2 linked regions of the Canis lupus familiaris genome follow. The protein of the gene in region 2 purifies or fractionates together with the protein of the main gene of each other region. This does not show direct contact. Links are inferred from orthologs where the notes say so. Each region holds a gene or a part of one and is shown on either strand. Other genes may lie near its edges. The genes, in order: NBAS and BNIP1.

Region 1 (7,642 bases), on a different chromosome or scaffold from region 2:
TGAATACACCCACTCAACTTCCTACTTTTCCATGCAGTTTCCCTGCCAGGACCACTATGGGTTGATGGAGGCCTAACCTAAGAGCGTGTCAATGTGTGTGATAGTGGACAATGTGCGCCAAGATAGGGGATTTACTATCCAAACAGATGTCACGGAGGGGAGTGGATGGTGAAGTTTTGAGGTTGGCACTGAGGGAGGCTGGGTATGCCCCCAAAGGTGAAGGTGACACACAGGCCTAGCATGGCCTCCTGGAGGTTAGGTAGTCCTATCAGGTCGTGTAATGAGTGACTGAGAGGGTTACTTTCAAAGGGTCTGAATCCCATGTCATTCCAAAGACCCCACTGGGGGCTACCTGGGAAGGAGAGTGACACCCTTATGGGATCTGCCACACATAGTTTTGGGAAGAGAAATGGAAGCCAAGGATTTAGGTGTAACCATGTTGGATTCAAAAAAGACTTGCCAAAAAAAAAAAAAAAGACTTGCCAGAAATGAAAGTTACGACGTTGACTTTCTTCCTTTTCTTTTTTAAGAAAGAAAGAAAGAAAGAAAGAAAGAAAGAAAGAAAGAAAGAAAGAAAGAAAGAAGCAAAGAAAAGAAGAAGAGAAAGAAAAGAAAAGAAAAGAAAAGAAAGAAAAGAAAAGAAAAGAAAAGAAAAGAAAGAAAAGAAAAGAAAAGAAAAGAAAAGAAAAGAAAAGAAAAGAAAAGAAAAGAAAAGAAAAGAAAAGTTCACTGAAGTTTCTCTGTTAAGAAGACTTTTATGCTGTGTCTCTAGAATAAAAAGTACGATCTTGCTCTGTTTCTCCATTCCCCAATGTCTTCCTCTTTGGAAAACAAAGCTTAAAAAAAAAAAGTCTGTATGTAAGAAACCCAGGTTGGATTCATCTGTATATTTGGCTGGAAATTCACTAAGAATACTACCTTGTAATCTTTTTAAGATGTCTCCACTGGAAGGGGCTTATTGCCTATCCTGATCCTGTCATCCTATGATGCCAGGCTCCAGGTCGGCCTTACCTGAAAGCAGCTGTGCTCTGACAGCAGCTCACTGGGGAGTGGCAGGCAGAGAAGCAACTGATGGGCTCTGACCGGAATGGCAGATGCTGGCCACACCCCTGGAAGGTGGCTCGGGATTCCCCACGCAGTGTCCCTGCCTGCTATGCTACCTGCTGCATCCGCAGTGGTGCAGGCGGCTTCCTCAGCCTGGGGTACCATTTCCCACCTCCTGCTCACAGACGCACATTTCATAGACCAGGACCAATGTCGCCCATGCGAATCCTGCCCTGACTTCCAGGACGATTAAGTGCTCCCTCCTCGCTCTCTGTACTGCACTCACCCCTGGGTAATATGGTAATTAGAGCAACAGGAAGGCTTGGCTCCCCTGCAAGACTGAGCTGCTCCAGTGGGAGGCTACTTCTTCCTCGTATCTAACTCCTCGTGATGCAGCAACAGAGTATGGCCCACAGTAAACACATAGATCATTTCATTTCTCTTTCGAATAAGAGGTGTAATTTAGCTTCCTTACTACTTCAAGACCCCAAAGCAAAGGGGTTTAGAAAAATGGTGCAAGGCACGAGGCTAGGTAGAGGGGCCTCGCTGCAATGCTGTCCCATATTCACCGAGATGGCCAGTCCTAGTTTCCTCCACTCAAGCCTCGGGCACAAAGCAACACACAAAAATACGCTATACAGGCATCTGAGCGCTAAATTATGATTCAGAGCCTGGCTGGGATCCTGGCTCCATGTCCTAGGCCTATGACTCCTGGCAAGGCTTCCTCTAAAAACAGCAACAACATATACAACCATCAGAAATAATCATGAGGAAATCTACAAAGATAAATGGGAAGAGTTACAGTAGCAAGTAAAGAAGACTATTCCGTGTTTACACATTGTGATTGAAGCTGTATAAAAATCTATCTGAAAAAAAAATCTATCTGTACCTGCACAATAACTAGAAGGTAATATGCAAATGAAAACAATTATATTACTGAATGAACTATGGGGCATTTTCAAAAATATTTTTTCATTATTATTATATCATATTTCCCACTTAAAAAAAGAAAACAGGGGTGCCTGGCTGGCTCAGTCGGTAGAGCATGTGACTCGATCTCAGGCTCATGTATTCCAGTCCTACATTGGGTGTAGTGATTATTTTTAAAAAATAAAATAGGTAAGAAAATTGGGGCAAGGCCTTACAGGGATGACATGGATATCAGACATATGAAAGATGTTAAGCTCTGGCAAACACAGAACCACCAACTTGTTGCTGTTCTTCCGATCACTACCACTGCACCCGAATGAAAAATTCTTTCTAAAAATGGCATTAGAGACACACACCTTTCAAGACTTATAAAGCTTGTATACTCATAGTCCTCGGGCAAGACGGACCTAATGCATAGAAAGCTTTCAAAAAAGACGATACATACATTCTAGAAAGTCTGCAGACTTAATCAGTCCAGCTAACCTCCTGAGGTGTGAATCCTTTCTCTCCTAAGGAAGCTCCAAGTAGTTCTCTCCTGGCCTCATGCAGAATGAGTGAGAGGAGACCACACTCTGCCCGGCAAACAAGGCTCTGGAGAGAAGGGAGTGACCGCCAGAGCTGACGGGGCAAGAGGACAGCTGCAGTAACCCCGTGTCCAGATGCAGAGCCTCTCTAGTGACGCGGAAAGTCCTCCGCTCTTCCTTCCAGAATGCCTTGGCAGTTTCATAAACAGTGATGTTAAAGTGATTCAGAGATTCTGAGGAGTGTCACGAGGTGAGATACACACACCATGCTAGGCTTACCCCTTGTCCACGCTGGCATGGACGGCCGCAACAACACCTTCCAGGACCTGGAGGGGGTCCCCCGACCCACCGAGGTCAGCACTACCTCCACTGTGAAGGGAGAGAGAGAGGACTGATTCAGAACAGGGCTCGGCCTCAGAAAGCAGCGTGGTGTTCACGCTCACAAGCACCCTACTGGGTTCTGGCTGGAGAAGCTGCCAACGCATATCCTCTGCGAGCGCTAAGGATAGAGAAGTGAAACCTCTTCTGCCCTGAAGGAGCTCATAATCTAGTATATGCTGGTTTTCCTATCAAGAAAATAAAATCTACTTGCATTACGTCATTTAAAAAACATTCCATGAACATTAGATAGATGAGCTATTTTAAGCATTAAATATATTATCATCTAAATTCTCCAGCTGGATTTAAAAAAAAAATAATAAAACCCAAATATTTACGTGGTACTTACCAGGTCCAAGGCACTGCTGAGTGCTTTACACACATTCTACCATTTAGTTTCGAATAGTCTACAAGATAGGTACTATTATTATGCCCGTTTTACAAATGTGTATGTCTAGGACTTAACTGGATTTTGAAAAAACAACAGGAGAAAAGAAGTTTTAGGTGAGTTTTCTGAATAATTTAAGTGATGTGATTTAAATCAACTGGTGGATTCAGTTCTTTATGTGCCTTTGTTATTTTATACCTACTAAATTTTACTAACTTTCTAAAAAGAAAATGCTATGGATGCTGTCAATAGCAATTTCTTTTCCTTTGAAAAGGTGGTAGCTGAACTCAAGTTCCCTTTCCTCCCACTGCAGAAAGATTTAATTCACATTTATTGAATGTCTTCTGTGTGCTAAGCATAATATTTATTAGGTAAGAACCAAGTCTTTACAAGTGGAACTGGGCACAGGGAAGGAGAGAGAAGTATAATTTATGTCAGAATTTTATAAATGTAAAAATATCACATATTTTAATTATTCATGACAATGTGTAATTTTTAGGAAATAAGCTAAATTCATCAAAGCACTCATTTTTCAAAATGTTTGTTTTGGTGAGGCTCATCTAAATCTTGATTCAAGGAACAGTAATAAGATAGCATAAATCAAAAGATGCAAAATACAACCAACAAGTGTCATCCTCTGAAAGAGGAAAGTGGGTGGCTTTTACAGCCACCACCACCAAAACATAATAGGCTAATAATAGAACAAAGCATTATTAATTTGACATTTGTTATTTCTTAAAAAATGTTATGATATTTTATTTCTCCCTCTCTCTCTTCAGAATTACCAGATACCGCAGATCATTAAGGTGAAAACTGTATGAGGCTGAGGTAATTAAACTGATAAAGGCTCATTTGATTTCAGTTCAGCTGTGGAAAACTGACATGCATTTAATCAAAAAGTTCCTCAAGAGCAATGCAGAATTACAAAGCAGGTTTAAAAGGAGAATACATTAAACACAACCAAATCTTGCGGCCTAATTGCATTATTCACAGAAAGCACTTGATGCCTCATTCTCTTTTGGAGCTTGGCTTTCCCCCTCGTCCCCAATCCTCCCACGAAGACACGGGCACACTGACAGAAAGCCAGCACTTCTCAGTGGTTGGTTCCACGCCATTAACTGCAGGTAAATAAAACTCTAAGACACTTAACAGATGTCTAACTTCTTCAGTATATGATTAACCTTGCTTTGTGTATTTCAAGAAGAGCTTCTGGGCACCATTTTGCAGCCTCTACAAAGAAGTGGAAGTAGAAAAGGCAAGAGCAGAACATCCACCTGGGGTCCCACGATGTCCTGACATGCAGCTACCTCCCTCACAGGCCATTTTGGCCTTTCCCTGGAAGGAGAGGGTCTAGCCGGAAGTTAGCTTTAGGGCATGTTACATATAATACCAGTGGTGAAGTATGTCCGTGGTTCTCCATTCTCAAGGTATCTTAAGACAGAAGACTCAGAAATCTTATGATCATGTTTCACTTTTATAAAGTGCTTCAGTTTATAAAACACTTCTACATACATGGTATTTTTTTCTTCATTACTGTAAAACGAGTGCTACTATTGGCACACTATCACCTCAGGTTCCCAACGAGTCTTCTCTAGCTTACCTCAACGCAGAAATGATCTTCCTTATGGCACCCTGCACCACATCCTTGGGCGAGATGTCGAGAGGGCCCACAGCCACCTGTAGCAGCTGCTGAATCATTCTTAGAGGCAGACCATCTAGACACATGGCCACAGCTTGCTCACGAAGTTTCCCTTCCTCTGATCGGGACAGATCATAGAGGTCACCGTATTTCTGCAGTATTTCCTGCAAAGATATGGCACACAACACCTGAGTTATCAAATAGGAATTCAGTGTGTCTACATGTACACAGTGAAGCATATTAAGAAGATTCTCAAACCGAATATACTAGAACTACAAACTGAAGAAAAGGCAGTGGTTAGGAAGGGCTTGGGCTCCAGAGACATGAGGCTTGAGTACAGACCCTTGCTGTATCACGTATTAGTCTGTAGGCCTTCAGTGTCTGCAAAATGAAGATGAGGACAGAGACTCTAGGGAAGAGGGGATATTGTTAACATTAAATGAGAGAGTGTAAAAGCCTCTAGGACAATGTCAGGCACAAGGTAGAGCTCACTGAAGTATAAGTTTCTCTATTATTATTACTGGGCTGCAACCACATGACAGCTCAGACCTAGGAGTATCAACTGCGCAAACCCAGGTAGTCTAGCGTGTCACCTAATTTAATGGTCCTAAAATCCTGCAAGGAGTTTTACTTAGCTCCATTTTACCAAAAAGTAAATTGGTAAAAACCAAAGATGCAAAGTAACATGGCCAAAGTCACACGGCTAGAAATTAGGGGAAGGAAGATCAGAATCCAAAAGACATCTCCCCACCTCCATGGCACACAGCCTGCCCCTCTTGGGTACTGTCTGTAAAAATGAATATGACAAATAATATATGAAATAGGCCCCAAGCCACTGGTTTTCATCATACCAAAACATGGTCACTAAGTGTTAAGAATGCTTTCCAGGTTCTGTACAGTTTCTCAAGTAATCTTGAATATACCCTCTCGACTTTCAGAACAACCATATAAAATCCAAACAATTGGTCAGTTGATGATATTAAAGAATTCCTGATAATTTTTTACTGTGATCATGTTGTAGTGGTGGTGTTTGCAAGCATCCTTTAGAAACAGACATGGAAGTATTTACAGCCAAAGTAAAAAGATGACCCGGATTTTCTTTAAAATAATCCCCAGGAAGGGGTGAGGGTATGCATGGAATAAGATAGTTCACGTTCTGATAATTGTTGAAGCTGTGAGTCAGGCACATGACCGTTCATTTTACTCTTCTCCTCACTGTGAAATTTCTTTTTTTTTTTTTTTAATATTTTATTATTTATTCATGAGACAGAGAGAGGCAGAGACACAGGCAGAGGGAGAAGCAGGCTCCCTCTGAGAAGCCTAATGGGGACTTGATCCCAGGACCTCAGGATCATGTCCTAAACCAAAGGCAGACACCCAGGTGGCCCGTGAAACTTCTAATAAAATAAAATTGCTGTGAGTTCAAAGTGGCTACTAGTATCCCTCCTGAACAAGAGGAAACTGAGGCACTGTAGAATAAAGGCATCTAGTTTAGACTGCGTTAATCTGGGGCACAGGGAATCTTCTTTCACTGGGTGTATGACTAAAGAGGTTAAAATTATGGCCTGAACTTAAAAGGGACAAATGTATGAGGCTGAAGGTTATTTCCAGTGCTTGCTATGAAAAGTACCCTAACAAAATCAAATGAGGTCCACTCTAGGAACCTGAAGAGTCTACTACACTGGACCTCCATGGTCTGACTGATGGCATTTGCAAGCAGCTACTGGTACCTTTAAATCATAGCCTCATTGAAACAAACAGCTATTTCCATTAATAATCCCCTTGGCCCCATATATGTTATTCTAATCATTCAAAGACAATACTTGTTCCAAGGAGAGGAGTGACAATTCTCCAGATCTGAGCATGGTATATTTAATAAAAAAGATAAGACAAGTCTTTAATTTTTTATACTAATAAGTATAATCACTTTTACTTGAAGAATTCAAATTTTACCCTAGTTCTCATAATTATGGATTATAGCACGGTACATGTCAGAAAGATAAAATCAAGATTGGTAAAGCCAATTTGTTCCCTGCAAAAAGCCTTCTCTATTGCTGTACATCATTTAATGTGATTCATTAGACAGGCTAATAGCACTAAAAAATACAAAATGAAATGAAACTGCTATCAAACTTTTGAATTCTTCCCGTCTTTTCCATGAGGGCTTTGAGTTTATGTGTCTCATACAAATTTTGAAGTCTTCCATTTGTTCATTATCTGAACTGCTCTCCATTGACCCATCTTTCTAGTCAGGAATTGTTCTTTATAAGCCAAGAACACAATTCAATCAACATGTACAGTTTAAGAAAAATAAAAGAGATTAGTGGCCACTTAGAGTTTCATTTACCATCAACATTAAAGGGGTAAATGAAATATTACTTAGATATCTGTACACTGTTTGCACCGATATGAAACCATTTACCGATTGATCTGTCAACGTCTCAGTTATGTGAAAAAATCGCTAAAACTCTCTTGGCTACAACAGCACAGCAGAAAAACTACAAAAGCTACAGAGAAAGGATTTCCTCATGCTGCCCTAACACACTGGGCCTCAACTCTCATCATGGGCAGCGACTCTGGACTCTTCTGAGAATATTTTTTTGAGATATCACGAAGGTCTCAACTGGAAACCAACTAGGAATAATTGTAATAGCCAAAAAAATTGGATCGATAATAAAATTATATTGGAAACACAAAATATTAAGAAAAAAAAACAGGATGAGTGCATCTAATTAAAAA
Region 2 (7,642 bases):
GAGAGAGCTATCTTTTTATTTCTCTCTTGTACTGTCCAGGGCTGTACAGCCCCTAAACACACGTGGCACTTGAGCAAGAATATATGGCTAAACCAAACTGAGGTGTCTGTAAGTGTAAAATACACACATGATTTCAAAGACTTAGTATGAAAAAACGAAGGCAAAATATCTCAATAGTCTTTAATATTAATTGCATACTGAAAAGGTAATATATTGTATGTAATAGATTAAATAAATTCATAGGTTTCTTTTTACCTTTTTTAATGGGCCTACTAGAAAATTTAAAGTTAAGTATGAAAAAAAAAATAAAAAAATAAAGTTAAGTATGTAGCTCGCATTTTATTTCTACTGGAAAATGCAGGCCTGGAGGTTTTTTCCTTAACCATATAATATATATTACCTTTTCACAAAATTGAAAGTCAGTAAGTAAGTAAAAAGAAATTATCAGAGGAAACAGAGCATCTATAATATAAAGACAGATGAGGGGGAAAAATAAACACTCAGATAACAAAAATCTTTCTCGGCCCTTTCTCCATGCCTACTGCCATTCCAAAAACCTAAGAACCTGTTCAAAAAGATATAATAGGTCTTTCTTTTTAAACTTCCTATTATAGCGAATTTTAAAGCATCACCAAAGTAGACAGAATAGTATTGTGAAATGCCTTGTGCCCAACACCCACACCCAAGAACCACCAATTCCCTGGCACTCCTGTCCCCATACTAGTCCACCCAATTCCAGCAAATTCCAGATATCATATCCCTAATATGCTTTTTAAAAAAAAACTGTAGTCCTAGTAGGCTTTTAAATCAAGCTGAATTTGAGAGCTGTAAGGAAAGGGTTAACAACTGCATTCTTCTTTAACAGCTTTCTCTCCTACAAAATGGGCCTCAAGAACAGCCCTCAACACCCCAGAAGCCATCAGCATCTGTGCACCCTTCTCACCACTTAATTGTATCATCTATTTCTGATATGTATGTATATGTGGGGGGGGAGGTATCCTGTCACCAGCATCAAAGCAGAAAAGTCCTCAACTCAAAGGCTAGGTGGCCTCCTATTTTGCACATTCTCCAAGGCCTATCCCAAGGCTTGAGTTCTGCCCCCAGCACGTATGTAGAGGAGGTGACTGGCTGGTTTTGAGCCTAAATGCCCAGTTAAGTTTCACACACAGGGGCTGGCCTTAGGGACAAGCTGCCTGTTCTCCTTTTGCTTCCGCCTGTTTGAATAGTGCACTGAAAAAAAAAAGTGGCTCAAAATTACAGATTCTTTTTAGGGGTGATAATGGTATCGTGGTTTGGCTATGTTTGTTTTTTGTTTCAAGAGTCTCTTATCTTTTAAAGAGACATATTGAAATATTTATAGATGATGTCTGTGATTTGTTTCAAAGAAATCCAGATGGGGGCACAGGATGGGTGGAGCTGAAACAAGACTGGCCATGAACTGACAACTGCTGAAGTTGGGTGGTGGGTTCGTGCAATCTGCGTACCATGACACTTTTGTCCCTTTATAAATCTTCCAAAACTATTTCAGAGAGTAAACACTCTCTTCTGTTTTCTTATGCAGAGGACCCTGAAAAGGGCCAATTCTCTTCTGTATCACAAGGGAGACACCACGGGAAAGCTGCTGGAGAGAACCAGATGCTCAAGCACCTTCTTTTGTGGCCTCTGATTGCATCTTTTAAAAGGAGCTTACAGCAAAAATAACACTGGGGAGTATTAATTATAAGCTGAGGCCCTTGCAGACTAGCCAGCAGCCGATACACTAAAACATCTTCCCAAGCAATGATTCCCCAACCTGCCTGGCCACATGGGTCCACAGAACTCCAGAGGAAAAAAAACAGATGCCCAGGCCCTTCCCCGAGTCCTGCTAGCACCTACTCTCCAGAAGGCCTGGGGATCTCGGCTTTTCACATGAGACCTTGGGAATGCTTCTGCTGGGGAAACATTTTGACGGGGGTGTGCAGATCTTGTAGTACAACTATAAAAACCAAAAAGAGAAGTAAGAGCAACATATCCCACCCCGGGCAATACCACAGTGTTGAAGAAGTGAGAAGCCACACAAGTCAGTAAGCTTGGGGATGAGGGTGGGGATGGGGACAAAGGTGGGAGAGCATGGTGGCAGGTGCCAGGACAAGGACTCTGGAACTGAAGTCTCTGGGAGAAGTTTCTAACTCCTGATCTGGCTTTACCTAGCGTCTGCATGGCTTCCTCGCTCTGCTGGACCTGCTGGGACATCATTCTGCTGATCCCCATGAGGCTCTCCGTGATGGCACTGGATGTCTGGGCCAGGCTCTCTTTGGTGGTTTTCCTAAAAGTCCAGAGTGGGATAGGCATGTCAACAAAAGCTGGCTATAAGACAACGCCCGTCTTCAAATGCGATCCCATTTTTTTAATCTATCAAAATAGCATATATATTTAAGTATCAATAATCACAGTCAATGCCAGCAAGGGTATGCTGACACCACACTCCTAAAGACTGCTAGTAGAAATGCAAACTGGCAATCTGGAAATAGTATTAGGAGCCTTAGAAACATTCATGCCTTTGGCCCAATAATGTCATCCCTGGGAATCTCTACAAAGGAAATACCCAAAATGTGGACAAGGCCTTATGTCCTAAGGTGTGCCCTTGTGTATTATTTACAATACTGACAAACTAGAAATGCAAACACACACAAACGGGGGATCAGCCAATACAAGGGAATACTAAGTACTCTTGAACCTTTGTTTAAAGAGTTTTCTAAAACAAGCAAGTCTTTGTGCTATAATACTATGTGAAGAAGAGCAGGGCGCTAAGTTTTATATACGGTAGGACTCTGTAAAAAAAAAAAAATGGTGGGAGGACACAATATATATCAAAATGTGTACAACACAATCACAGTATAGTTCATTTTGTCATCGACACCTTTATTTTACCAATTTATTACAAATAAGCCAGTATTTCTTTCATACTTTAAAAAATATTACCTATATAATAAAATTAATTACCAGTTTTACACTGAAAACAAGAAGGGCTTCCCTACACAGGTTTTGCACCTTGCCAATTGCTATCTGTTCTATCATTAGGGCCCAGAAAGACAAAAAGACAGATACCTTTGCCTTAAGAGGTCTCCTCCCTGGAGAAGTTCTGCTTTCTCTAGATTGTCGATAGCAATTTTGCAAGTGAGATTAGCCTTCCTCCATGAGGTCTGATTGCTGGAATCAGAAGGGTCTTGCATGAGTTTCTGTCAGATCAAAGAACAGAAGTTCTTCCTTCTGGCAAGGGAGTGATGGGAAAGGCCTCCCAGAGTGGCCTACAGAGTCATCCATCTCTGCCTCCCACCATTTCCTCCTCTTGGTTGCCCCGGCAACTGCTCCAGCTTAGGCTACACCTCTGGTCTCACCCTGCCCAGCCGCCTGTAGCTGTCCCTTTCCCTCCAGGGCAGCCAGAGGGAGCAGTCTGGCCACAGTACTTACTTCTGTGCTTACAGCCGGGCAAGGGCTTCAGACTTCAAACTCACCTTGGGCACTTGAGGCCCTGTTCTGTCCAGTTACCACTAACATTTTACCATTTTACCATGTTCTACCTTGTGTACTAGTTGGTTCCATTTCTTGAGGACCATATCTCACTCATTTTTGGATCACTAATACCTAGAACAACAGTCTCTGGCCCATTAGCCAATCAATAGATATTATGAGAAGTAGAAAAATCATAGGAAGGCAGTTTTCCTCAATATTTAAGTTTTTATTTAAAAAAATTTTATTTATTTATTTATTTATTTATTTATTTATTTATTTATTTATTTATTTATTTATTTATTTAGGAGAGAGAGAGCAAGAGCATGGGGAGGGGCACAGGGAGAGAGAGAAAAAATCTCAAGCAGGCTCCATGCTCAGCACAGAGCCTAACACAGGGCTGGATCTCGGGACCCTGAGCTCATGACCTGAGCCAAAATCAAGGGTTGGATGTTCAGCCTACTGAGCCATCCAGGTGCCCCTAAGTTTTCATTTAAATTCCAGTTAGTGGGACTCCTGAGTGGCTCAGCGGTTAAAGCATCTGCCTTTGGGTCAGGGCGTGATCCTGGAGTGCTGGGACCGAGTCCCACATCAGGCTCCTGCGTGGAGCCTGCTTCTCCCTCTGCCTATGTCTCTGCCTCTCTCTCTCTCTCTCTCTGTCTCTCTCATGAATAAATAAATTAAAATCTAAAAAAAAAAACAAAAAACAAATTCCAGTTAGTTAACATACAGTGAGTGTAATATTACTTTCAGGTGTACAATATAGTAACTTAACACTTTGGTTTTGCTCCATATTTCTTTAAGATTTGCTGTTCTTTACATACTCAGACCAATCATGAGCGAGATAAACACACTGTATTAGCAGTTTGATGTGATTTATTTACATTCTTTACCTGATCTCCCTCATGAGAGATAACTCAAATTTGATGAACAGCTCCCTGGGGTTAGCAGTGCAGCCTTTGTCAATGAACTATAAAAATGTTAATTGGGCCCCTAGGAGAATCAAACTCAAGCACTAGAACTCTTAGGCAGCTGGTTCACATCAATTGTGCTAACCCCTGAGATGTTTACCAAAGTCAAACGTGAACTGATACGGTATTTTTCTAAGAGTACCTCTGTGCTTAAAATGTAAAACGAGCTCTCTGTCACCAGAACAGCATCTGCTATGCCATTTCACACCTGATATTTTAAAAGAATCAATTACATATTTTAATTGTTAGCAAGGAAGTTCTGCTGGGCCCTGTGACACAGAGATGAATGAGCCATAGTGGCTGCCCTCAAGGGGCTCACATTTACTGGGGAGAAAGACAAACAAATATTTGCTGAATGGTGTGATAAGCACGAGAATCCAGGCAGGCGCAACTACTGTTTTCACACACAACTGCCAAAGTATTCATCTACTGCTTTCTCTCTCCCCTGTAACCCTACATCATGAATGGCCATTCTCAACTCCTAGCCATGCTAACTAAGCCCATTTTATCTGGTGTAACTTACTCTACTTTATACAAGGGGTCCTCTTTACTCAGTGTTTGTAATGTGAGTATCCTTGGTGGCTGAGGGAAGCAAACGCCATCATGACACAAAGTACTCCGACTGAGCCAAGCACTTTAACACTGGTGACCATGCACACATCCCTCCCTACTTATACTAGCCTCTACCATGCCCACATGTTTGTCAGTCTCCTCCTAAGGGCTGGGGGTCATAAACACAGTAGCTGCCTGCCAAGGATGATGCTGGAGAATTACTCACATTGAAGGCAAAACGAGAGACATACAGATCCAACAGAGTTAGAGCAAATTAATAAGGAGAAAGAGCAACACCTAGGAGGATGATGACTAACAGGGGCTTCAAAAGAGAATGACCTGGCTACCAGACGATGGGGAAAGTTGATGGAGCCGTTAAATTTTTTTTTTTTTGAGCCTTAAATATTTTTGTCACAACAACACTCTTTATGATTATGATACAAGTCACATGTGAAGGGACAGGTGCTGTTTCATGCCATCAGATAATTTTGTTGGAAAAGCCCCCCCCAATATCCAGAAATAGTGCATACTTCAATTATATAACCAAAGGTTAGCCCACTGCTACAATGATAACCACCGCTTTGTTTAACATAGCATAATCTTATTTACATTTTTTGTTTCATTTTTTAAGATAAAGTCCCACTCAAAGCTTTCTAAATTTTGGTCCATCTTAAGTAGGAACTTTTTCTAGTAGCAATTTCCTTACAGAAAAAGATGTTGTATTACAAAAGCAATCATTTTTTGGTTTTGTCCTAAAAATATAAAATATAGTATAATGGTAAATACGCTTTTGTAAACTATATACAATTTGACCTACCAACAACCCCTGCTTGTCCCTGCTTTGAGAACTACTGATCTAGAGAGGACATTCAGTTTGTGTAGAAATGACACAATTAAATCATTAAGCCAGGTTTGTTAGGCAAACCTTTATACAAGCCGCCCAGGGAGCAGGTGACCCAGCGCAGGCCCCACCTACCTGAGCATCTGCTTTTTGTGATTCTCCACTTCCTGAAGCAAAACTTGCTTCTCTGACTCTTTGTCTTGCTCTTTAGCTGACTGCTCAAGCTCCTTTGGGGGAAAAGAGATCTATATTAAAATGATTTTAAAAGCAAAAAAAAAAAAAAAAAAAAAAAGCCAATATAAAAACCAAACTACTCCTCTTTCTAGGCAGGTTATACAATAGCACTTGAAAACCCTCCTAACAGAGAACACTCAGGAATGTCAGGTAAATATAACAAACATCCATAAGTATATAGCTGATGTGTAAGAAAGTAAGGATAATCTCCAGGGCCCCAAAGTGAGAAGTGAACTGAGAGCCAAAGCAGTCAGCCTGTGACTGATGCTCAACTGCTCTGCAATGGGAGATTCACTCCTGTCATCTAGGGGGTCCACCTGGAATGAAAAGGGAATAAAAATTACTAAATAGGAGCCCCTGGTTCTACTTTGAGACATCATGGAAATATCAAACTGCTACACATGTCTCAATGCTCACTCTCAATCTCTGTACCTATTTCATTATTGACTGGTAGCAAACAGTTGGAAGGTTTGAAAGCCCATATACGGGTGGCATATAAAGTGTTGAGCTATCTGAGGCTGGAAGCCACAAAGGGATGCACCTTCAGTGTCCATGCCTGTCATGTACATGCCTGTCAGCCAGCACAGACAGAATGGAAGCTTGTCCTTTTTTGTTGGCTAGTGGGATACAAAATATTTCCTGAGAATGTAATGTATATCCATGGAGCTACCCTCAAACTGGTCTGGAGTTATAATTCACTTCTCTCTGAAAGGTCTGAGAATCTCCATGAGGAGAAGTTAACATAAAATGTGCTCCCAGACTTATAATCCCACGAGATATGGCAAAAGCAAATCCAAAAACCTCTGAAGAGACTTGCTTTCAGTCCAGGTTGCACAAAAATCCCATACATAAGGTCTGCTAAAGAGGAGTGCTCACAGCCCCAAATAACCAAACACCAGGCAATGGACATAAGCTCAGCAGTGTGAGACCCCTGAGAACTTCAGATGATGCAAGTATCAGATTGACTCTAATTAAAGATGTCATTATACCTCAAGAATCAAGTCGTATTTTTTGTTTGCAGATTAAAACAATTTCCAGTTTCAATCAAGCTGCTGATGCTAAAACAATGTATTAGTTCACTTACATACTAATTTATTTATTTATATACTCATTTATATATTAATTTGCACATGCTGGTCAGGAACATGTGTCTGTATCCACCATTTCAGCAGCTCAGAGATGACTTCCAATTAATGGCCCCAGATATTCTGAGACAGAGAGAAAAAAAACATGAAGGAAAAATTTTGCAAATGTAGTCAGTTTATTACTTGCTTAAGTATTCATTTAAAATCTAGATTCCTTGCCAGATTGTGAACTCCAGGAAAGTAGGATTTTACACCTAATGTTCACTATACATATTCTTTGTGCCTAGAACATTATTAGGCACCAAACCTATTGAACAGAAGAATGGATGTATGGTTAGAAGGGAGGGAGGAAGGAAAGAAAGAAGAAAGGTATATAGTTTCCTCATAAAAGGTTGCCTAGAAATTCTGTCATAGAGACCCAGATAGTTCCAGAAGAAAAGAAAGGGGTAAAATAGTTCTCAAATTCCAGT

Evidence for each region.
Region 1: the proteins of BNIP1 (region 2) and NBAS purify together in Homo sapiens (co-immunoprecipitation; 3 studies listed by BioGRID and IntAct, with this or other methods). This does not show direct contact. The link is inferred for Canis lupus familiaris from reciprocal best matches to the Homo sapiens genes BNIP1 and NBAS.

Annotation. Positions count from the first base shown.
Region 1 is NC_049238.1:11,154,517-11,162,158, forward strand, and holds part of NBAS (neuroblastoma-amplified sequence), read right to left. Parts: intron 5,068-7,642; coding exon 4,865-5,067; intron 2,868-4,864; coding exon 2,778-2,867; intron 1-2,777. UniProt on the Homo sapiens protein: Involved in Golgi-to-endoplasmic reticulum (ER) retrograde transport; the function is proposed to depend on its association in the NRZ complex which is believed to play a role in SNARE assembly at the ER. Required for normal embryonic development.
Region 2 is NC_049225.1:40,177,831-40,185,472, forward strand, and holds part of BNIP1 (vesicle transport protein SEC20), read right to left. Parts: intron 6,081-7,642; coding exon 5,989-6,080; intron 3,190-5,988; coding exon 3,088-3,189; intron 2,306-3,087; coding exon 2,187-2,305; intron 1,976-2,186; coding exon of another isoform or gene 1,905-1,975; exon of another isoform or gene 1,876-1,904; intron 1-1,875. UniProt on the Homo sapiens protein: As part of a SNARE complex may be involved in endoplasmic reticulum membranes fusion and be required for the maintenance of endoplasmic reticulum organization. Also plays a role in apoptosis.